Linked DNA regions of Canis lupus familiaris. The protein of the gene in region 2 interacts with the protein of the main gene of each other region in a pairwise test. Links are inferred from orthologs where the notes say so. Each region holds a gene or a part of one and is shown on either strand. Other genes may lie near its edges. The genes, in order: SRI, STAT3, RPA2, BLK, GADD45GIP1 and BMX.

Region 1 (4,197 bases), on a different chromosome or scaffold from region 2:
AAATCTTGCGATATGCTGCAACATGGATAAATTTCAAGGACATTATGCCAAGTGAAATAAGCCAATCACAAAAAGACAAATACCTGGTTATTGTAATCATATGAGGTATCTGAAATAATCAAGCTCATAGAAACAGAAAGTAGAATACTGGTTGCTAGGGGCTGGAGGAAGGAGAAATGGGGAGTGGCTGTTCAAGGGGTATAGATTTTGTCAGGCAAGATGAAAAACCTTAGAGACCCTGCGGTACCACACTGTGCATGCAGTCAACAATACTGTATCGTACTCTTAAAAATTGGTTGAGAGGGTAGACAGATCTCCCGTGCGTTGTTCTTACATACATACATACATAGAAAAAAAGAACCCCACAGAGGTCAAAGGACTCATAAAATGTCTAATCTATCTTGATAATCGCTTTGGTATTTGAAAACAATAGTCTACTTCCTACTTCCTAAATCAAACCTAAAACAGTTAATCCAGTGCAGCCCCAGGGGTCCAGGGGTTTAGCGCCGCCTTCAGCCCAGGGCCTGATCCTGGAAACCAGGGATCGAGTCCCACATCGGGCTCCCTGCATGGAGCCTGCTTCTCCCTCTGCCTGTGTCTCTGTCTCTCTCTGTGTCTCTCATGAATAAATAAAATCTTAAAAAAAAAAAAAAAGGTAATCTATAGTTTATTTGATATGTAACAACGGGGATTATAAAAATTGTTCTGACAGTTCAGGAGTTTCATTTTTGGAGTCTGATTATCCAAAAAGGGGACTTGGAAGGAAGAGAAAAACAATGACCCCAGTGGGAACACAGCCCGGGGACTTGGAGTGGAGGAACCCCGTCTACCATGCTGAGCAAGCACATCACCACACTCTGCAGGTGATCCAGTATTTGTTAAATGTTGATGACGCTCAATTTTTCCGTGCAACCGCCATAGCAAATACCCTGAATGTTGCTCATGAATGCATTTCTTTCTTTTTCTTTTTTTTTTTATGAATGCATTTCTTAAAACGATAAAATTCAGGGGGAAAAAAAATTCTTTAGGACTGAAATTACATGAGACGAAACCAAACGAAAATCTGACACCTGAATTGCTCACATCGGACTGTTCAACCAGGCGAGAAAGGAAAACGTATGCAGAGAACCATTTTCCGAATCTACCTCCGGGAAGAGTTCTAACCTCTCACCTTCCGATTTACCAGCACACTCCTAGCTGTAGTTTCCTCGTATAAAAAAGTAGCTGAGTAATTTTTTGGGAAGAGTGGTCGTATCGCCTGAATCATCGAGATAACTCTAACACCTCCTTCCCCGAGAGCCTGGGCGGGGAGGCCCTGCCAGTGAGTGGCCTCTGTCCTCCCTGGGTGTCGCCGCAGCTGAACCAGGACCGGACTGGGTGCCCTCGCGGTGAACTGTGCAACCGCAAGCCAAATGCTCTCTCGCACACAGTTCCTGAAGCTTTTTCCTGTTTTCCAAGGGCGTTTCCATGTTTTGCTCTTTCCACGCCCCCCTCCCTCCCAGGCGTGCAGGAGCGGCCCCTGGGGCCAGCGTGCAGCCCCTGCCTCCCAAAAGCGCCCTCCGCCGGGAGCCCGGGAGCCCGGGAGGCCCGACAGCCGAAGCCGCCCGCAAGGCTCGGGAGCGTCAGAACCGAGGCAGCAGGACGAAATCGAGAATCCCCGGGGCGCCGCCCTGGGTTGGGACGTGCCATTCGTGGCGCGGGGAGGAAGGCGGCGGGTGAGCGCCGCGCCGCGGGCCCCGGGCAGTCAGAGCGGGGCGGGCGCCCGCGGGGCCGGGACAGCGCGGGGCGGGGGGCGGGGGGCGGGGCCGGGGCCGGGGCCGGGGCCGGGGGCGGCTCGGGCGCGCGTCCCCCCCCGCCCGGGTGGTGCGCTCCGGGGGCGGCCCCGGCGGGAGGGAGGCGGCGCGGCGGCGCGGCGGCGGCGCAGTCTGCACCATGGCGTACCCGGGGCACCCTGGCGCCGGCGGCGGGTACTACCCGGGCGGGGTAAGTGGAGCCCGCGCGCGCTTGCGGTCGGGCCGCGGCCCCGGGGCCCCGTGGACGCCGGGAGGCCGCCCTGGGCCGCTCCGCGGGGCGGTGCCTCGCCGCAGGCCCTTGCCGCTCGGCCCCATCCTCAGGCCCCCTCCTCCTCCCCGCCTCTTCGCGCTGCGGGCGGCCGCGTGGGGGCCGAGGCGCGGGGGTGGGGGTGGGGGTGGGGGGTGGGGGGTGATGGCCCGGGAAGCCCCCCACGCCCCCTCCCCGGTGCCTGGGATGCGCGGCCTTGGGTATCGGCTTCCTCCCCCTCCCGGTTTCTTCCCCTGAGAGCAAACAGCCATTTTAATCTCGAAGGGTCCGGAGAGCCACCTCCCCTCTTTGAAAGCAAGTGAGAGATTTTTTTTAAAAGTCGGGGAAAGCCCTGGCGGAGGGAGGCCTCCTCTCGCGGCGCCGGGGTCGCGCGTCGTCCGCCCCACGGCCCAACCCAGACCCCGAAGCCGGGGTGCACCTGTCCCGGGCCGCCGCGAAAGATCCCTTAAACGCTCTAAAAGTAGAAGGAGAACACTTCGCGCCCCGCTCTTAAGTTGCTCGTCGCGGTTGCGTTTCCTCGGTAACCTGCAGGCCGGTGGGGAGCTTTAGAGTCGCTTCCCGTAGGCGGCTGGCACGATCTGCACGACTCACCGTGGTCCAAGCTGCCGGCGTTTGAATCCTGATGCGGTGAGAACGGAGAGAAGGGGTGGAATGATTGCAGCTAAAGCGTGCCCGGTGCTGGGGAGGCGAACCATCCCTGCGGAGGGCGGGCAGTTGCCTGCCTTTGCACAAAAGCATTCAGTGGTGAAAGAATAAAACTGGATTCAGCGGAATGATGCTGTTGTGCTTATTGTTTTACAGTATGGAGGGGCCCCCGGAGGACCTACGTTTCCCGGACAAACTCAGGATCCGCTCTATGGTTACTTTGCTGCCGTAGCTGGACAGGTTAGCTTTTCCCCTTAATATTCAAGAATTGTCAGAGTCTGCCTCTGTATTAGCCATGGTTAGAGTGGGATGGAAAAAAGAACTTTCCTCTGGAAAAGAATCCCTTTGCTTCTGTAAAAGAGAAAAAGAGAGAAGGAAATGGATAGTTACTTATTTGTGAATATTCAGAACAAATAGGACAAAGTGTTGCCTGTATTTATGTTAGTTCAATTCAAACTAAACATGTGATTGAATTAGGGTCAGATTAAACAGGAATAGGGGGTTATAAATATATTGTGAAGATCTGTGAAGTAGAAAGATGTTATTAGGACTATGAATTGTCAGGGTCCATGGTGGTTTCCAGAGGAGAAATTCTAGATCTGACGACCACAAGCCCTTGTTTGTACAACTTGAAGACACATACCGGTAATTATGAAGTCAGATTCTAATGAACACTTTTTTGGGTTGAATTCGATTGTTAATCAGTTACCCCCTAAGAAATAGGTTCTTGTGTTAGACTACCAGCTTCAAAATAAGAAAGTTATTACTGCCTTACTGTGAGGAAGTTAATCTTGTGAGCAGTTTGGTTTCTCTTTAAGGCTGATGCCTATTCTAGGTCAGCTCTTCCATGTCCTTAAAAGGTGTTGTGGCCTGTTGACCGAGAGAGACCCAAGTGTTAGCTCCTGGAGACCTTTCACTTCTCTTGGTTGAGCTGTAGGACGGGGTGGTGTACGTTGAGGGAGGACACATCCCTTGCTCACCAGGACACTGTGTACAGTAAATACACCGCTGGTATAACCCAGACATGTCCAGAAGGGATGTTTAGTCTTAGAAATTCGATTTTGCTTTGTTTTGATCAAAAACAAGAAATAACATAATCTTCATGTGAAGATGCTATCAAATGTTATGGGATAAAAACCCAAGGCCGCCTTTCAGAACAGCATTCTGAGAAATATAGTTGAAGAAATTGAGTGGAAAATTGTGTCTAAAACTGAAAGAGCTTCCCTTGAAGTATCTGCTTAATCTGTTAGTGATCTGTATCTTTGAAACCACAAGACAGGGCAAAGCTCAAGACTTGAGTTCTTAGATTGCCTATCCTTCCAGTCCTGTAAATGACCCCACCTGCTTACCTTGCAGCGGCCCTGGCCTACAGCAGCATATCCATTGTCTTTCACATTATTGTTCCTGCTCCTTGGTTAGAATCTACGATATGCCTGGACTTGAGGCTTGGGGTATTTTATTTTTTAAATCCCTAAAAGTAACATCTGTCTA
Region 2 (3,500 bases):
CCCGATAATCCAGATGGACTCTCCTCCCTACAGGGTCTTATCTTCTGGAAGGGCTCAGTCCCCTTCATCCCTTAACTTGTTCCTCACTGTCCATGTGTAAAGAAGATCTAAAGCTGTCCTGTTCAATGCGGCAGCCTGGAGCCACAGGTGGCTACTGAACATCAAAATGTGGCTAGTGCCAATCGAGATGGGTCGTTGCTGTAAAACACCCAGCAGGTTTCAAAGATTTAGTACCCCCTCAAAAAACCTCATTAACTTTTTCTTATGTGTTAAGATGCTAGTATTGGGGATTTATTGGGTTACAGAAAAGATATTATTGACGTTAACCTCACTGTTTCTTATTGCTATTTCCCATGTTGCTACTAGGAAATTTGCACTCACAGGCATGGTGCGCATTTGGTTTCTAAGGGAAAGTGTTGCTGTACAGCCTCTTTCTACCAGTGCATGGGGGGCCAGCTCTGGGCTGGCTGGCCACACAAAGGGGACAGACTTCCCTCCTAAGGCCCAAGTCTGTCACCAAACACTCACCGAACTGCCCTCCTGCTGAGGGCTCAGCACCTTCACCATTATTTCCAAACTGCATCAATGAATCTAAAGTGCGGGGGGACATCGGCAGGTCAATGGTATTGCTGCACGTCGTTCTGTAGGAAATGGGGAGCAGCAGGAGGGGAAAGGGCCGGGTTGACAAGACACAATGGAGAAAAAAAAAAAAAGAACAAAACACACACACACAAGCCATCAAACTCTGGTCTCCAACAGAAAAATAAAAGCTCAAGCTTTTTAAACACGCAAGATCACTTTGAGTACTACACAGAGCCCAGGGCATTCGGGCCCTTCACAGGGTAGCTCTCACCCAGTGTCCTACTCCCAGGATAACTGAGGACACCAGAAATGAAGGCCAAATTGAGAAGGGAAGCCACTTACGGTGTCACACAGATAAACTTGGTCTTCAGGTATGGGGCAGCACCTGGGAAGAAGAGAAGTGGGACTTACTAATTGCGACCCCACTGTGGGTAGAGGGCAGGAGGAAGCTGGCTGCCTCACGGCGCTGGCTGACATGCATCTCACCTCATCCTGGAGCAGAGGTTGTTTTGAACCCCATCTCCCCTCAGGGCTGCCCGCCCACCACCCTGTATGACTTGGGGTTCCAGCGAGGAGCTTGCAGCTTGGCAGGTGAACTTTTTCCATAAAGCCTTCCTGACGTGCAGAGACTTTTCAGCACACCCTGGTCCCACCTGAGCCTAGAACCTTGCGTTCATTCTTTCCCTAGATGATGTGAGCACTGACCTGCCTGCATGTGATCTGAGGACTGTGTTCTGGCCTGGCTGAGTCTTTTAGATAACGTCTCTGCAGGTGGGATTGGAGCCTATCCTGTCTGGGCTCTGATACCACAGTCCTGCTCAGATGCCAAAGTCGCCAAGTCTTGAAGAGAATGGGGAAATTGCTCGTGCTGTTCGGAAAGGCCCAGAGTCACACCTTTCATTCCTAATGGGCATCCATCTGCCTCTACTACTTTTCAGATGAGCTATATTAGTAACTCCCCATTTGGATAGTGAAATCACACAAAAAGCAGCCTCTCTCTTAAGGGAGCCTGCCTGGTGTGGCAGTACCATCCACTCTGGGCTGAAGACAGGGGGCCTCATTATGTCTCCCACAGCTAAGACACCCAGGGCAAAGCACTTTCTCCTCTAAAAGGGAGGGGAAGAGGGAGGTGCCCATCTCTGTCATTTATAATTTATCTTTTAAACATTTTATTTGACAGAGAGAGTGCATATGCATGTGTGCACAAATAGGCAGAGGGAGAGGGAGAAGCAGACTCCTCACTGAGCAGAGCCCAATGCGAGGCTCGATCCCAGGACCCTGGGATGATGACGTGAGCCAAAGGCAGACGCTTAACTGACAAGAGCCACCCAGGCGCCCCGGTCATTTATAATTCTTATTCCGTAGTTAGAAATGTGAGGACTGGAATAAATGAATTTAGGTGCTAAATCTTTACACCAAGAGGTCAAGGAGCTTGGAGACACTGGCATGAAATCTGAGGGATTCAGGTGAGCAAATCACTTAGGAGGTGTGAGCCAGGGGTGGGGTAGGTGTGGGGTGGGCCAAGAGCAGCACAACTGTAAAGCTTGTGGTTTATAGAGAGACTAAGGAGGCAGAAAGTATGCTGACAATCTGAGAAAAGCCATTGTCAGGGGGTCACTAGACTGCCTTCCAAGGTTATCTGGGGCCAAGAAATAGATTCACATGGTGCAGAATCCAAAGACACTACCCAGGCAGGGTTCTGGTGTCATAAATCCACTGTGGCATAGACCTGAGGGGAGCTGACATCCCTGACAGAAAAGGATTTAGTTCCTCAGTGATCAGATAGCAGAGAAAATGAGCCTCGGCCTGAGATTCAGCAAGACCAGAAACAGAGGAGAGCCCAGACTCGAAGCGGAGCTATGGCTGCGTACAAGGTTGTCAATATACTTCATCCATTTTGTAAGGTAAGGGGGCTTTTGTTTCTAAGAGAGGACTTTCTCCTTCAAGCCATTGAGGGGTCTGGTGGAGAAGTAAGGAGGAAAGAAGAGACCTGGGAAGATGATCTGTCCCTGGGGACAAAAATATTTTCATAATGGAAATCAAGAGGAAATGATGGGCACAGACCCATCTCCCAGAGGACTCCCACTTTAATGCAGGCACTCCCGTAGCACTGGGCCCATCCCCTCGTCATGCTCCCACCACACCAAGCCCTCCAGTGCCCACTGCCTACACTCGCCTCCCCAGGAGGTGGGCAGAGCACTCAAGTAATTGGTTCCTTTCTCATGCCTGGAGTCTTGCCCCTGAGAAAACACCGGTGACTATAGGCAGGAAAGGACCTTGCCTCCCGGTCACGCAGGATGGCTGATGATAATGGAGGGCATGGCCTCAGATTGGGAACTTGGATCATGAAAGCAAAATGAGCCAAAGGACCAGCACTTGGACCTAAATGTCCTCTGCAAAAGGAACAAAGAGTAGTGTGTCGAGGCTGATAAACAGATCTCCCAACTGAAGCACGGCTGCAAAGCAAGATAAGTAGCAGACAGGAAGTGAGAGTTAGCTCTCCTATAGTATGAACAAAACCCAGCACTAGAGCAGAGAAATGAGGGAAGCCAATTATCAAGTAACTCAAATTCCCTCTTCCAAGTCCCAGTCTTCCCCCATCCCAAGAAATTCCTCAGAGGGGATTCCTAGGAAAAGGTGGGTGTGTGCGTGCTTGAGGTCCTTACATAAAAACAGTTTTTCCAAAAGCAACTGGGGTAGGGAAGCTACCCTCAAAGGATGACTTTAAGGAGCCCCCAGAAGGCTCTCTTATTAAGGGAAGTGAAATAAAAACAAAGAATGGCAAATCATAGATTCCCCATCAGGATATGGATGGAGAAGAACCCAGGGAGCCAAAGAAGCAAATTCGGATGGGACAGACTAGCAGAGCCCCCCCTCCGCACTGATGACAACACTAACCCTTACAAACTTACTGTGGA
Region 3 (3,411 bases), on a different chromosome or scaffold from region 2:
TGCATGTTACATCTCATTAACTTACCTCAGAATTAGTTCTTTTATTCAAGATGTACCTTACATTCTGGAGTTGTCAAAAACATCTTTGAGCTAGTTTGCTCTCTTGTAAGAAATAGAACTGATTAAGCTCACCAAAGGCTGCAGGCCTTTAGATAGTCTCATCTCGAGGTTAAATAATAGATATTCAATTCAGTTACGTGACCATATATTGCTAGAGTCAAGATTAAGGTTCACTTTATAACCTCTACTAATGGCAATGGTAGATGCTTTACAAACCTTATTTTGCTCAATCTTCACGACACACCTATGAGGAAATGACACAGTTCTCTTCATAAATAAGGAAATGGGAGGCCTTTAGAACTGACGTAGTCTACCCAAGATCCTAACTAAATATGGGAAAGCCAAGATATCAAACCCAAGTCAAGCTATGCTACACATCTCAGATTATAAAAGTATTAATTATACCATCTTAGGAATAAAAAAAAAAACATTTCCACAGATTCTGCAATAGAACTTTTATTAAACATATGGATTTTGTATTGAAATCGAAATATTTCTTTCTCCCCTCTCCTCTCATGAGGTCACGACTCTAGAACTTCATGTTCATAAAAACACACTTTCGGCAGCAGTCATGACAAGGTGAAGGAAAGTGCAATTCTGAAAATAATACCATATAGCCAACTAAAGGGTGGAACAAAACCAGGCAGAGGTTAGCAGGTTTTTTGGCTAGCTCCCTGCTGAAGGCCCTAGTTCTGCTCATCTTCTCTCAACAGGGAACATTATAGGAGCAGAAACTCCTGAGTATTCTTTAATTAATACTGCCCAACTCTCTTGGTAGTATGTCTCTCCCACTTCCATCAGTCCTGATGTTGTAAATGGCTGATTCGTAACTTTAAGAAAGTCCACCCAGGTTTATATTCTCATCAACTGCCCAAAATTGAGCTTCATAAAAACAAAAATTAAAAACAAAAAAAAATAAACAAAACAAAACAAAAAAGCCAGAGCACTAAGTTTCAAAAGGATGTTAAATGAGACCCTTTCTAGATGAAACCTACTCCCTAGACGTCAACTGACCAAACATATGCACAGTTGGAGACAACAGATTATGAAATCTGGTCCAGCTGGAAAATACCTGGAGTACTCAATTAGATCCAGTTAGTCTGCATCTGTGGATTTAAAATGATCATCATCCACAGTGGAATAGATGTGGCCCTCATTGCTAAGAAAATCCACAGCTTGCCTAGAAAGAAAGAAAGAAAAAAAAAAAGGCTCATTATCAAACTGATGCAGAAGAAAGGAAACTGTCTTTTGGGTATGGCCAAACACAGATTTTGCTCACAGGGGACTCTTGCGGGGAGAAGTGCGAGTAAAATTGCAAAACTGAAACAATGCATGGAGACAATAGCTAACAGAGCTGCCCTGGACCCCTCTACCAAATGGTATAAAGGCAAGAAAATAGAGCCTAACTCAAATGCCAATCTATGCAAATTGAAACAAGGATCTAAGAATATAGTCCGCATGCACATAAAACTCCTAGTATAAACACCTATTTTTCAAAGTTCCTCCTCCCACCAACCCTCTGGGAAGTTGAAGGACATAAAGGAAAGACCTTTTGCAGAAACAATAGAACACCTTCATACCCTTTAAGGCTCTCAGGATCAGTATCTGTAACATGTTTAATAATATTAATAGTATTAACTGCCTATTTAATAACAGCAATAATTTACAGAGCAACTACTACATGACAGTGTTTCTGTACCTCATCATCACTGGAACTCTGAGATATGAATTAATATCTTCATTTTATAAAACAGGAAATGAAATTAGACCCAAGCCTTTCTTTTCTGTGTAAACCTAGAATATCAAGTGATTTACACTAACAAAATGCACCAAAATACTCTGCTTGTTTGATTCTTTCATCAGGATCAGGAAGCTGCTTGTCTAACATGGAAACAAAAGATGTTGGAAGGACGCTCTATGGTTTCAGGTTCAGACAGTCAAATGCACATCTCCACAGTGGAAACAGTAACACCAATGGGACAATACATGTGAGGACCAGGAGCTGAAGATCTCACTCCTCCAGGTCAAATTTTATCTGGTCAACTTTGACAAAATTATATCCCTTGCCCATAATGGGAATCACTGTTTGTTAAATGAACAAGTTAGGGATCCCTGGGTGGCACAGCGGTTTGGCGCCTGCCTTTGGCCCAGGGCACGATCCTGGAGACCTGGGATCGAATCCCACATCGGGCTCCCGGTGCATGGAGCCTGCTTCTCCCTCTGCCTGTGTCTCTGTCTCTCTCTCTCTCTGTGACTATCATAAATAAATTAAAAAAAAAAAAAAATGAACAAGTTAATCAGTGATGTGACGGGAAGCACCATCATTTTGAGTTCTTTTTTTATGTTTCCATGACTGAACAACTTCCCTTCTGTCAATGAGACTGCAGCTGACAGTTCTATTTTTATTTTTAATTCACTTCTCATTATCAGGAAACCCTGGTGAGTTGAAATGGGTACAATTCTAGAGCTCCAGTTGTTAGAAACCAAATACTCACTTAATTGAGGCTACAGACATGTGTTGAAGCTGGTTCTTGAGATCCTGAAAGTTTAATCCTTCAGGTCTTGGACAAGCCTTAATCAAATTCAGCACCTGAAGATTCAATTCAAATGAGAAAGATTTTAGCAACTACTCTGAATCAACTTCTTTATGTAAACCTGAGTCCCTTTATAAGAAAGAAATGGTTCAGGTCCCTAACCTTAGAGATTCATTAGGGAAGTAACAAATTTAAGACTGCCTGTGTCTTGAATTTCTGGAGCCACACAGTGTTTACCTGGTTTTGGGCCACAGTGAGGCCATTTGCTGGGATGGAGCTAATCCCACCAAAGTTTCCTGTTTCACCCATTCCTGGATTGCTGATAGGTGCTCTCCCTGCTGGGGGCTGAATTAAGAAAGAAGTTCACAGTGTTAGAAAATTTACCAATTTAAACACAGTCCTTGTTATTGTTAGATAGCCTGTTGATTAAGCAGCTCACAAAAATAATTTAAGCCATTCTCCCAATAACAATTGCTTACACTGGAAAGGATGACTGTCATCATTAACAAGTATTTCAAGGGAAGATAAAGTGACTCTTTGAAGCACAGAATATCAAACAGAGAGAAAGGTACCTCTTAGCTCCTTATTTTTGCTGAGGGGAACCAGAGGAAAACTAGCATCGAGAAGAAAATTACCTGGAGATTTGCTATAATAGTCTTTATTTATCCTTGGTACTTTACTATTCAAACATGCACTTATTTATTATTTATGGCTTGTTTTTACCTTCTCCCTCTGCCTGTGTCTCTGCCTCTCTCTCATGAATAAATAAATAAAATCTTTAAAAATAATTATTTAATAAAAAATCTGTATTATTGAA
Region 4 (3,500 bases), on a different chromosome or scaffold from region 2:
CAGGCAGGCCTCTGTTGGGGTCACCCTACAGCCCTCTCCCCACAACAATGTCATTCCCGAGGCAGAGGATTCCCGGAGGGCCCGCAAGAGCGAACCTGTACAGGCTCAGTGAAGGGGTGCTAACTTGCTGAGCATCTGACAGGCCCAAGGGGTCCCTGGTCCTGGGAGGAAGGGGGTGATGCAGCCTCTAGGGGAAGAGTTTGTCCAGGCAGCCTGACCCCCACAGAAGGCCCCTGTCTTCAGTGAGTAGCCTTGATCTTGATTAATGGGACAGATTTCAAATTTAGTGAGTTGGGACTGAACGGGAAAGACAAAAGCAAGAGCAGAGAACTGCTGCCCAAAGGGGGAGCCGGCGGCCTACATGGGCCCAGAAGATCGGGGCTTTCGCGCTTTGGGCTCAAGGCCACTGTAGAAGTTCAAGAACACAAGTAGAACCACAGGATTCCACAGAGCAAGCCAGACATTTGAGAGAGAGCAGACTTTGGAGGAGTTTCTGAGAGGGAACAGGGAACACTGGGAATAGAGCTGATTTCATGGGTGGAATCCTGCGCGAGGTCTTGTCTGGCAAGGGAGACACACAACGCAGTGGTGGAGCAGCCAGGCAAGCGCTGTGCCCGTTGGGAGGGCTTCACGGAGGAGGTGATGTTCGAGGTGGGTTTTGAAGGAGGAGTAGGATTTTGACAGTGGGGCGGGAGATAGCGAATGGAAACCACCCTGTGAGGAAGACTTCGGAATGGCAGCTAGGAGGACGACGACCAGGTCAGGCTGGCGGGCAGTCCTGCCGTGATAGGCAGACACAGAGGCCTCTGACCGCGGGGCCACATTCCAGAAACTTACTCCTTCAGTATCTGCAGCTTCTCTCCCTTCAGCATCTGCAGGTCCCTGTCATTCACTGAGCTGTAGTCATACAGGGCCACCACGAAACGCTCCTCTGGAGGGAACAAGGAAGAGATCCGCACGCTCCAGCCCAGCAGCGTAAGGGCAGGGCCTGGGTGAGTCTGTGCTGTGGGCCCTCTCCGGTTACCCCAGGTCAGGATGACACAGGGGTGAGGGGCAGCTGTGGTGCGCCTTCTCACCCACCCACACAGCAGAGGAAACTCCTGTTTGGCAGATGGGCCTCCTGACCTTGCTGCCGGCAACAAGGTCTCCACGTCGAAGGCCTCAGGCTGGACAGGGCCATGCTCTAGGGGAGTGGCGGCCTGAAGATCTAGGGAGACTGGCTGTATGGGGCTGGTGGCTGCAATCCCGTTTGGGAATGCACGTTGGCTGATTCCTTACTGGCCCAGAGGCCCATGAGCTTCCCTTCTCTTCCCCTTCCCTGCCTGCCCCTTCCCACCTCTATTCCAAAGGGGGTAGTGCTCATGGAAACATGGCCACCTTAGCAGTGATCTGTAACCTGCCCAAGGCAGTGTCACAGGGCCCCCGGCAGCAGTACCCCCGACTCGCTGCTGGTGCCTGGAATGGATGTTCAAATAGCCCCTGCTAATGGGGAGGGCTTTTCTATACACCTCCAGGGTGCCAAGACCCCTTTTCCAGGTCACTTGGAGGCCACCTAGCTTACCTAGGAGTGGATGACTCAGCTTTGTCACTGATGTGTGGTGTGATGGGCCAGTTACCTCCCCACGGTGGGGAGAGGGGATTGGAATAGATGACAGTGGCCTCCTCCAGTTCTGAGATTTGAGTTATTGTACCAAAGGCGGTTAGTGTATTGTTTTCCCAGGGGCTTCCTTATGGAGATGTGAGCCCCCTGGGAGGAAGTGAAGGATAAACCCTGCGGGAATTAATTGTGATTCCCCCAGCAGGGATGAGAAACAGCAGGTAAGATAACTAATCCCGTTTCAGCCTTTGCTCATGAGTTGGACAGACTCTGAGCTCTTTCAGGGAGGAGCCGTGTCTGATTCAATATTTCAGCTTCCCCAGTATTCAGACAGAGCCAGGCTCTGGGTACTGTTTGCTTGGTGCATGCCCTGGAGAGCTCCTGGTGCTGTGTGCAGGTGGGTCATGAGGGTGCTGGGGTGCAGCTCTCCTGTAAGCCAGTTCCGAACAATGCTGCCATCCTGTGAGTGTCTCCAAGGTCCAAACCCCTGGCCCAGGAGGGCCAAGGTCACTCCTTAGGCAACTGCCAACTGTCCTCGTACCCATCCGAATGGAAGTAGAGACGGTGTGTGCGTGTGTGGAGGGGTGAGTGGTCAGAAGGTCAGCAGAGGCTTTTGTAGGTGGGCAAGTGGGGGGAAAGATGGTGTTTCTGTACACGGGACAGAGGGCAGGAGGGAAGACAGACCCATCGGCCTTTGCCTTTTGAGGTTGGGAGTTAGAATCTTTGAAAGCTTGGGTTTATTTTTATGCTGTTTGTATGTACTGTAATGCTTTTCTTTGTGTCTCATTTACGGTTTGTAAAGTCTTTTTTAAAAAAAAAAAAATCCACCCCAGCTCAGGTACAGAAATAGGGCTTGGTTCCTGGAGAGGCCTTGGGCAGGAGGAGCCTGGGGCAAGGCTGGGAGGCACCCTTAGCTCTGCCTGCTGCAGCACCCTCCCCCCATCCCCAGCCTTCTCATCTCCGACCCTTGAGAGCTGGCCCTATCCTCTCCAGGAAGCTGCTGCTAACTGAGCCCCTGTTATGCCTGCACCCAGCCCAGGCCCAAGGAAGGTGGCCTGTAGAGCCTCAGCTTCCAGGGCAGCACCTTCTTACCTTGGTCCAAGCATGCGTCTGGAGGTGCAGGAGTCAGGTGGTTAAACAGGATCTGGAGCAGAAGTGCACACACACACACACACACACACACACACACACGCTGTATTAGTTCAACCCCCAAGGCCTGGGCAGGGCCTGGTGTGACAAGGAGGCTGCTGGCACCTGTCCGCTGGATAGTCTGTAGGGAGCTGCTATTTCAGCTCCTCAGGGACCAGTACCACCTCACAAGACCCCTGGACCATACACTAGGCTAGAGGAGAGGGCTGTGCGCTTTGTAAGAGGGAGCTATGGAACTGGGGTGGGAGTGGTGGAAAGTATGATCACCTGGATTCAAATGCTGCTTCTGCCATTAAATGATGAAGTTGCAAAAGGGTATTTATTCTCAGGAAAATTATTCTGAAAGTGCATTTCCCTAAAACTCCACAAATATATCCCTAGGTTTATTCCCTGTAGAGAAACTTTTGCACATGTGTACCAGGAAACATGTATGGGAATGCTCCCAGCAAAGAATTGTAATAATACATAAAAATTGTAAAGGGTGGGAAGCATCCTTATGACTAATGACAGAAAAATAAGCAAACTGGGGCGGAGTCATGCAAGGAAATTCTCTGCCACCTTTGGAGCTCCTGAGCTCTATCTAGCTGCATGCATCATCGTGGATGAAGTTCGCAAACGTAACGCAGATGTGACAACCCGTTCTCAGAAGAACGCATGCTGTTTGATTCGATTGATTGAAAGTTCATAATGGGCAGAATTAAACTAAATGGTCTTTAGGAGTATGCACACATGTAATGATACAGAAAAAGCAAAA
Region 5 (3,840 bases), on a different chromosome or scaffold from region 2:
TTGAAGTGAATAAAGTTTTAAAAGCCAGTCCGGTGGTGTGTGCCTACTGGGGCTTCCTGTTCCAGCTCGTCTGGGTCTGGGGGCTAGTTGGGCACAGGTGATATGGCAGTGGTCCGTTGGCCTCTGCAGTTTGGGGCTCCCAGTGTCTCACACCCCCCTCTGAGGCTGTCTCATTCCCAGGCAGTGGGCCCCAGCCTAGCCTTGGAAGGGCTGCTTCTCCCTGCCCCCCACCATCACCACCACAGTCTGTTTTGGCTACACTTCCCCCCCTAGTAATTGGCTAATTACTGGAGATTAATGTTGGTAAACAGAAGCCTTCTTCTCTTCTGCCATCTGCTCCTGCATTATTTTCCCCCACCGCAACCCCTTTTCTTCCCCTGAAGCCCCAGTTAGCATGGCCTAGAGTCCCCAAGGAAGCCAAGCCCAGAAGGGTGGGGGGCTCCTGGCCACAGGTGTTGGGGCGCTGAGGAAGGGGCATGATGAGAGAGGACACAGAATTCTCCAGGGCTGGGGCCATCAGGTGGCAGGTTTTATTGGGAAAGGCTAGCTCAGGAGCTGGGTGCTGCAGAGTCTTGGGCCATAGCAGTGGCCAGTGCCGCAGCTCGTGCCTCCTTCTTCTGTCTTTGTTTCTCCTCCTTGAGGCGTTTGCGCTGCTGCTTCTCCAGGTCCTGCAGCAGCTCCTGGAAGCGGGCACTCCTTGGGTCCACGTGGTAGCCCAGGCGCTCCTGGGCCTCGGCCTGCAGTCGGGCCCGCCTCTCCTTGTCTGCCTGTTCCTTCTCCCTGCGCTCCTGCTGCTGCCGCCGCCAGTTCTCAATCATCTGTGGCATCTTGGCCATGCGCTCTGCAATGAGCTGCTCCCTGCAGGGGAGGGTAGAGTGGTGAAGATAGCAAGAGCCAGCCAGAAGAGGAGCACCCATCCAACCACAGCCCACCCCTAGTCTGCCCACATTCTGATTCCTCTAACTCAGATGAAAAACTGGGAAGGCTTCCGGGGGTCGTTAAAACTGTCAGGAAAAGTCCTTGACAAGCGAAGTAACAGGCAGGAGAGGTGGATTAACTTGTGTATGACCCTGAGCACAAGAGCACTAAACCCCTCAGGGGAGACCTCAAGTCAACTCAGTGTTTCACTGAGCTGTCTACTGAGCCATCCCAGAGCTACACACCATATGGCCTTTCCCACAGCACACTCTCATCCTGCAGACATCGCTGAGCACCTCCTGTATGCCAGGCCCAGTTGTAAAGGCAAGAAATGGATTGGATCTTTCCTTCCAGTTCTGTGAGTTTGTAGGTGCCAGTCACAGTCCCCATTTTGAGGATTAGAAACATGAAGCTGAAAGATCTAAAGCCCCACAGCAGGGTTATCCAGCTGGGATGGGACAGAGACTGAGGTTCACATTCTAGCTCCACTGTTCATTGATGGGGTGACTAGACATATGACTCCAAACTTCCAGGCCTCAGTTTCTCATCTCTAAAATGAGGGTGATGCTCTCGTACTCCTACAGCTATTACGAGGACAAGAACAATGAAAACCAGGAGGGCACTTGGCCTGCTCCCTCCCGAAGTGGCAGCATCCCGACTTTCTTTCCTAGTCTTGAGTTCTTTCAAGCCCAATGCTTAAGACCTGTCTCCAAGTCCAACCTCTGCATTGATTCCAGGCCCCATCACTTCCCATTCGTCCCCCGCCACACTGACCTTAGCATATTCCTACCTCAGGGCCTTTGCACCAGCTGTTCCTGCTACCAGGAACACTCTCCCTAAGATCTCTCCACCGCTATGTCTGGTCAAGTCCCTAAGGATCGAGTTCTTAAGAGAGTTTCTAGGTCTCACAAGCCAGAGTCGCTCTGCAGCACACATATTTTCCACCCAATTTTATCTTCCTAATGGTTCACTGTTGCCATCTGAAATTATCTTGTTCTCTGCTATGTGCTCAGCACCTGGGAAAGCCTTGCACACAGGAGGGCCTCCGCCCACAGCCCCGCGCCTGCCCGACCGCACACACCTGGCCTGACGCTTCTGCTCCGCCGCCAGCTGCTGCACCCGCAGCGACTCCTGCATGGCCGCGAGGCTCGGGCACCATTCGCGCTCCTCAGCTTCCAGCTCGCGCAGCTGCTCCCGCGACGGCCACAGAGAACCGGGGGCCACCCCGGAGGCGGCGCCGTGCCGCGCGAACTGCTTGGCCGCATAGCGCGGCCCCAGCTGCCAGCGCGGGGTCAGCGGGTCGTCCGGGTCTGGCCACCAGGGCCCTGGCAAGCGGCGTGGGGGCGGCGGCGCCCGGTAATCACGGGAGCCGCGGCCCAGGTTCGCCGGCAGCCCTAGCAGGCAGCGCGCTCGCCGCACGGGCGCCGCCATCTTGGCTGTGCGGGGTCCTCGCGGGCCGGCCGGGCTGGCCACCGCACTGCCTGCGCGCGAGGTCCGATGGCCGCCGGGGCGGAGCGAGGGGCGTCCTGTGCCCCAGCCCCAGGCAGGGGAGAGAAGGGGGTAATATATTTTTATACATCTCAAACATACATTTTTTTATACATCTCATCTCTTATTTATTTTAAATAAAATTTAAAATTTTATTTTAGTAGCTATTTCTTAAAATTATACCAAATTTTACTTTTATACATTTAAAGTAGCATTTGATTTCTTTCAAAATTTAAATGTCTAAATTTCAAACTACTTAAAAATTTAAATATTGCTTCAGTTTGAATTTCAATCTACATATTACTTTATATTTTAACTAGAGTCTTTTTAAGATGTTCGTTAAAATATTTAAATTCCATTTTAAATACTCGAATATTGTTCATACATAACATTAGATATTTATTTTTATGCTTTATTTTGTGCTTTTAAATTTGATTTTGAAGGGACGCCTGGGTGGCTCAGGGATCGAGTCTCACATCACTCTCCCTACCTGGAACCTGCTTCTCCCTCTGCCTGTGTCTCTGCGTCTCTGTCTCATGAATAAATAAAATATTAAAAAAAATTTTTTTTAAGATCTCAAGATTTTCATTTTAAAGAATTATTTAAAGCCTCACCAAGACAATTATTTTAAATATTTAAATTTATACTTTAAAATATTTAAAGTTGTATGATTAAGATATTTCTGTAGAAATTTTATTTTAAATTTTATTGTAAACATCTTGTTACTTTGTGCCTTTTAATTTTTAAACATTTATTTGAGAGAGTGAAAGAACACAAGCAGGGGGAGTGGCAGAGGGCAAGGGAGAAGTAGGTTCCCTGAAAGCAGGGCTCAATCCCAGGACCTCCAGATCATAACCTGAGCCAAAGGCAGATGCTCACCCACTGAGCCACCCAGGCGCCCCTAATTTAATTATTCATATTTAAAAATATTTAAAATATTTAACCATGGGGTAGCAATTAAACAGTGTTTTTTGAAAACAGGATTTCTGCCTTAAAAAGAAAGGAAATTCGGGGACACCTGGGTGGCTCAGCGGTTGAGCACCTGCCTTTGGCTCAGGACATGATCCCAGGGTCCTGGGATCAAGTCCCATATCGGGCTCCCTGCGTGGAGCCTGCTTCTCCCTCTGCCTATGTCTCTGTGTCTCTCATTAATAAATAAATAAAATCTTAAAAAAAAAAAAAAAGGGAAGGAAGGAAGTTCTGTCTCATGATACAACACGGATGAACCTGGAAGACATTACGATGAGTGAAATAAGCCAGTCACAAGAGGACGTATTTTATGTGATTCTGCTTATATGAGGTCTTTGGAATAGCCAAATTCATAGAGACAGAGAGTAGAATGGTGGTTGGCAGGGACAGAAGAGACAAAGAATGGGAGTTAGTGTTTAATGGGGACAGAGTATCTGTGTGAGAAGATGAAAAAGTTCTGGAGAT
Region 6 (3,500 bases), on a different chromosome or scaffold from region 2:
TTTTTTTTTAAGATTTTATTTATTTATTCATGAGAGACACAGAGAGAGAGAGAGAGGCAGAGACACAGGCAGAGGGAGAAGCAGGCTCCATGCAGGGAGCCCGATGCGGGACTCGACCCCAGGACCCCAGGATCATGACCTGAGCCAAAGGCAGACGCTCAACTGCTGAGCTTCCCACGCGTCCCCCTCTAACAGTTTTTAGAGAGGAGCCCTTAAAAACTAGAACCGAGTTTGCGTGAAACCCAAAATGTTGAAGGGCTTGAGATGTAGTCTTGGACGTCCTGCATGAAAGCAGCTGTGACCACCATCCCCTTTGGCATCGACCAACCCTTTGGGCATGCCTGGTGCAAGCCCCAAACACGGCTCGGTGCTGTGTGCAGCTCATACTCATTTCAGCTAGCATCCTCGTTAAAATTCATCACTAGATCAGGGGTCAGCAAACCTTGGCCCGGGACCAAACCCAGTGGCCTGTTGCTGTAAATAAAGTTGTCCTGGAGCAAGCCTTGCCCACTCGTTCCTGTATTGTGTCTGATTTCCTACTGTAACCGCAGAGTGGGGTAGTTGCCAGAGATGCTGTACCACCTACAGAGTTTAAAAATACCTGCTATGTGACCCTTCACAGAAAAGGTTTGCTGACCCCTATTTTATTAAAGAGCCATACTGAAATTGAGTAAAGGTAATTAGAGGACAGAAATGATTCTTAAGTTGCGATTAGGTGGATTTTCTGATCTTTCTATGCTACGAGAAACGTCAGGCCTGCTTACGATCACTGTCAGAGGGATGCAGGGTAAATTATCCAAATTATCATAAAGTTATGGATATATGAACTGCAACTGAGACCTATTGCATGTCTATCTTGGTCCATAAGCATAATTTGACTTTTTATATGACATCCAAAAGACTGCATGAGTAAAAGAAAATTTAGTTAGCCATTTATTTTTTTACACGACACACATTTTTAAAATACTACTTTTGTCAAAGTAGTATCGTTCACTTAAAAAAATAATTCAATGTACGCAGAAGAAAGAAAAGCCACGAAGATAGCATTGTGGTGAATACTTGACATCCTTTATGGGCTGATTAACTTGTCAAAATTAGTTTCACTCTCCATGTGTTGATACGCCTTATGAAAGATGCTTTTAAAACTCAGTATCCTTACTCAAGAGTTACAGTTTGTTTTTGACCAAAAAGTGGCATCACCGGGCTTGATTACTCCCCCTAGGAACTAGAAGTTGGCTCCGGATATTTTCTGGCTATTTGCAAACACTAAATCCATTCAGAAGTAATTTGTTTCCAATGAGGACATTCAAAATGAACCAGGGCCTCTGAAAACAATTTTTTTTTTTTTGAAAACAATTCTCAAAGGAGAGGAGGCTCAAAGGAGAGGAGGCCCCACGGATATTTGAAACAATATTACTTTTGGGATAAGTGGATTTGAATATTTGAATTTGTGGATTTGAATAAGTGGATTTGAATATTTGAAACAATATTACTTTTGGGATAAGTGGACCTTCAAAGACAGAACTGTGAAGGGAGCAGTATACTCTTGGATGGTTGTTTTAGAAGGTTGTTTAAAAAAAAAATACAGGGCAGCCGGGATGGCTCAGCAGTTAGCATCACCTTCAGCCCAGGGCCTGATCCTGGAGTCGTGAGATCGAGTCCCACGTCGGGCTCCCTGTGTGGAGCCTGCTTCTCCTTCTGCCTCTGTGTGTGTGTGTGTGTGTGTGTGTGTGTGTGTGTGTGTGTGTCTCATGAATAAATAATAAAATCTTAAAAAAAAACAGCCACAGCAACTTGTAATATTGCCTTATTGTAAATATTTTACATAAAATCTGTGGCCCTGAAAGTCAAAGAAATTTTGAAGTTAGTCCTTCAGGTACGGTTCTAGAATAATTTTCTTCCTTCTTACATATTTCTGGCTGCCCAAAGTCTCGAAGCTGGCCGACTGTTGAAATCCTGCGGCTAGGCCGGGACGACAGCACACTGGCCACCACGCAGGGAGCACGCGTAGCGGCAGGTGCTTTCTCCTGGCCGTGCTCGCGGCAACCCTGGGACGTGCCCCCCCCCCCCCCGCCGGGGAGGAGACGGGAGCGTGCTCGGAGGGTGGCTGAGGCGCTGCCAGGCCTGTAAGCGGCAGAGGCGAGCTCGAGGCCGCAGCCGCCGCGGCCAGGACCCCGTATCTAGACCCGGAGTCCGCGGCGGCCTCCGAGGGGCTTCGGGACACCGTGACCATCCAGAGAGCGAGCACAGACGTGCCGGGCACTCACGTTCCCGAGAGAGAGCCAGTGGTGGTGATCAGAGTCTCAAAAGGACACCTGACCCACAACATACCAGGGACCATCGAGGCAAAAGGAGGAATTTTGTCAGTGATCTTTCCTGTAAATCCGCTCGGGCGGCCGATTTGACGGGGCGGTGAGACGTGGCACAGCCGCCGAGGCAGAGAGAAAGGAGGGGCTGGGCTGGGGTTGTCTGTCCGGGGGTGCGGGGGGACGAGGCCCCAGCCGCCTCTCGGAAGCACCCCGGAATCTTGGCCCCCAGTAGCCCCCCTGCAGCTGCCTTCCCGATGGCCCGCTGGCCGGCAAGAGGAGGACCGTGGAGAAGGGACGGTGGGCTCCGGAGGCGAGGGCACAGGGCCACCTTCCACGCCCGGGCCTCTGGCTGGGACTGGTTCCCCGGGCTCCCTCGCCCCGGCCGGAGCCTCCCCGAGCCTGCACCTGCTGACACGGCCTTTCCTTTGTCCGCCGGCCGCCCTCCGTGTGCCGTAGGGATCCTGATGTGGGAAGTGTTCAGCCTGGGGAAGCAGCCCTACGACCTGTACGACAACTCGCAGGTGGTTGTGAAGGTCTCCCAGGGCCACCGGCTCTACCGGCCCCAACTGGCGTCGGACACCGTCTACCAGATCATGTACGGCTGCTGGCACGAGGCAAGTGCACCCCGGGGGGCCGGCGGCGGGTGCGCCCAGGGCGGTTGCCCAGGACCCGTGGGCCGGGCCGCTTTGACCGAAGCGCCTGCCCCGGGCGGGCCCAACGGGCCTCAAGCGTTCGGGAGTGAAACCCAGCAGCGCGGCCGCGCAGGTGCAGGTGCAGGTGCAGGTGCAGGGGCTACCAGCGTAACGAGCCACTTACGTCCAGCACCGTTTGAAGAACTTCATAAATATATATATTTTAAAGATTTTATTTATTTATTCATGAGAGAGAGAGAGGCAGAGACACAGGCAGAGGGAGGAGCAGGCTCCACGCAGGGAACCTGACGTGGGACTCGATCCCGGGACTCCAGGATCACGCCCTGGGCCCAAGGCAGGTGCTAAACCACTGAGTCACCCAGGGATCCCTAGAACTTCATAAATATTAACCCATTTGTTCATCAGGCAACATACTAGGAAGTACGTGCTATCGCGGCCAAAACTAAGAGGAGAGGGGCAGCCCGGGAGGCTCAGTGGTTTAGCGGCGCCTTCGGCCCAGGGCCTGATCCTGGAGACCCGGGATCGAGTCCCACATCAG

The links.
Region 1: the proteins of STAT3 (region 2) and SRI interact in binary tests that used the Homo sapiens proteins (3 or more experiments, as listed by UniProt). The link is inferred for Canis lupus familiaris from reciprocal best matches to the Homo sapiens genes STAT3 and SRI.
Region 3: the proteins of STAT3 (region 2) and RPA2 interact in a two-hybrid assay, tested with the Homo sapiens proteins (2 studies listed by BioGRID and IntAct, with this or other methods). The link is inferred for Canis lupus familiaris from reciprocal best matches to the Homo sapiens genes STAT3 and RPA2.
Region 4: the proteins of STAT3 (region 2) and BLK interact in binary tests that used the Homo sapiens proteins (3 or more experiments, as listed by UniProt). The link is inferred for Canis lupus familiaris from reciprocal best matches to the Homo sapiens genes STAT3 and BLK.
Region 5: the proteins of STAT3 (region 2) and GADD45GIP1 interact in binary tests that used the Homo sapiens proteins (3 or more experiments, as listed by UniProt). The link is inferred for Canis lupus familiaris from reciprocal best matches to the Homo sapiens genes STAT3 and GADD45GIP1.
Region 6: the proteins of STAT3 (region 2) and BMX interact in binary tests that used the Homo sapiens proteins (3 or more experiments, as listed by UniProt). The link is inferred for Canis lupus familiaris from reciprocal best matches to the Homo sapiens genes STAT3 and BMX.

What each region holds. Positions count from the first base shown.
Region 1 is NC_049235.1:14,252,280-14,256,476, reverse strand, and holds the start of SRI (sorcin), read left to right. Parts: upstream 1-1,397; 5' UTR 1,398-1,412; coding exon 1,413-1,715; intron 1,716-1,871; exon of another isoform or gene 1,872-1,932; coding exon of another isoform or gene 1,933-1,983; intron 1,984-2,862; coding exon 2,863-2,946; intron 2,947-4,197. UniProt on the Homo sapiens protein: Calcium-binding protein that modulates excitation-contraction coupling in the heart. Contributes to calcium homeostasis in the heart sarcoplasmic reticulum. Modulates the activity of RYR2 calcium channels.
Region 2 is NC_049230.1:20,483,442-20,486,941, reverse strand, and holds part of STAT3 (signal transducer and activator of transcription 3), read right to left. Parts: intron 968-3,500; coding exon 925-967; intron 642-924; coding exon 529-641; intron 1-528. UniProt on the Homo sapiens protein: Signal transducer and transcription activator that mediates cellular responses to interleukins, KITLG/SCF, LEP and other growth factors. Once activated, recruits coactivators, such as NCOA1 or MED1, to the promoter region of the target gene.
Region 3 is NC_049223.1:71,871,097-71,874,507, reverse strand, and holds the end of RPA2 (replication protein A 32 kDa subunit), read right to left. Parts: intron 2,940-3,411; coding exon 2,832-2,939; intron 2,651-2,831; coding exon 2,556-2,650; intron 2,254-2,555; exon of another isoform or gene 2,067-2,253; coding exon of another isoform or gene 1,924-2,066; intron 1,241-1,923; coding exon 1,156-1,240; 3' UTR 501-1,155; downstream 1-500. Other genes in the region: protein THEMIS2, read left to right, coding at 1,924-2,066. UniProt on the Homo sapiens protein: As part of the heterotrimeric replication protein A complex (RPA/RP-A), binds and stabilizes single-stranded DNA intermediates that form during DNA replication or upon DNA stress.
Region 4 is NC_049246.1:26,504,762-26,508,261, forward strand, and holds part of BLK (tyrosine-protein kinase Blk), read right to left. Parts: intron 2,742-3,500; coding exon 2,690-2,741; intron 932-2,689; coding exon 838-931; intron 1-837. UniProt on the Homo sapiens protein: Non-receptor tyrosine kinase involved in B-lymphocyte development, differentiation and signaling. B-cell receptor (BCR) signaling requires a tight regulation of several protein tyrosine kinases and phosphatases, and associated coreceptors.
Region 5 is NC_049241.1:49,637,586-49,641,425, reverse strand, and holds GADD45GIP1 (growth arrest and DNA damage-inducible proteins-interacting protein 1), read right to left. Parts: upstream 2,371-3,840; 5' UTR 2,350-2,370; coding exon 2,000-2,349; intron 859-1,999; coding exon 549-858; 3' UTR 501-548; downstream 1-500. UniProt on the Homo sapiens protein: Acts as a negative regulator of G1 to S cell cycle phase progression by inhibiting cyclin-dependent kinases. Inhibitory effects are additive with GADD45 proteins but also occur in the absence of GADD45 proteins.
Region 6 is NC_049260.1:11,831,767-11,835,266, forward strand, and holds part of BMX (cytoplasmic tyrosine-protein kinase BMX), read left to right. Parts: intron 1-2,765; coding exon 2,766-2,923; intron 2,924-3,500. UniProt on the Homo sapiens protein: Non-receptor tyrosine kinase that plays central but diverse modulatory roles in various signaling processes involved in the regulation of actin reorganization, cell migration, cell proliferation and survival, cell adhesion, and apoptosis.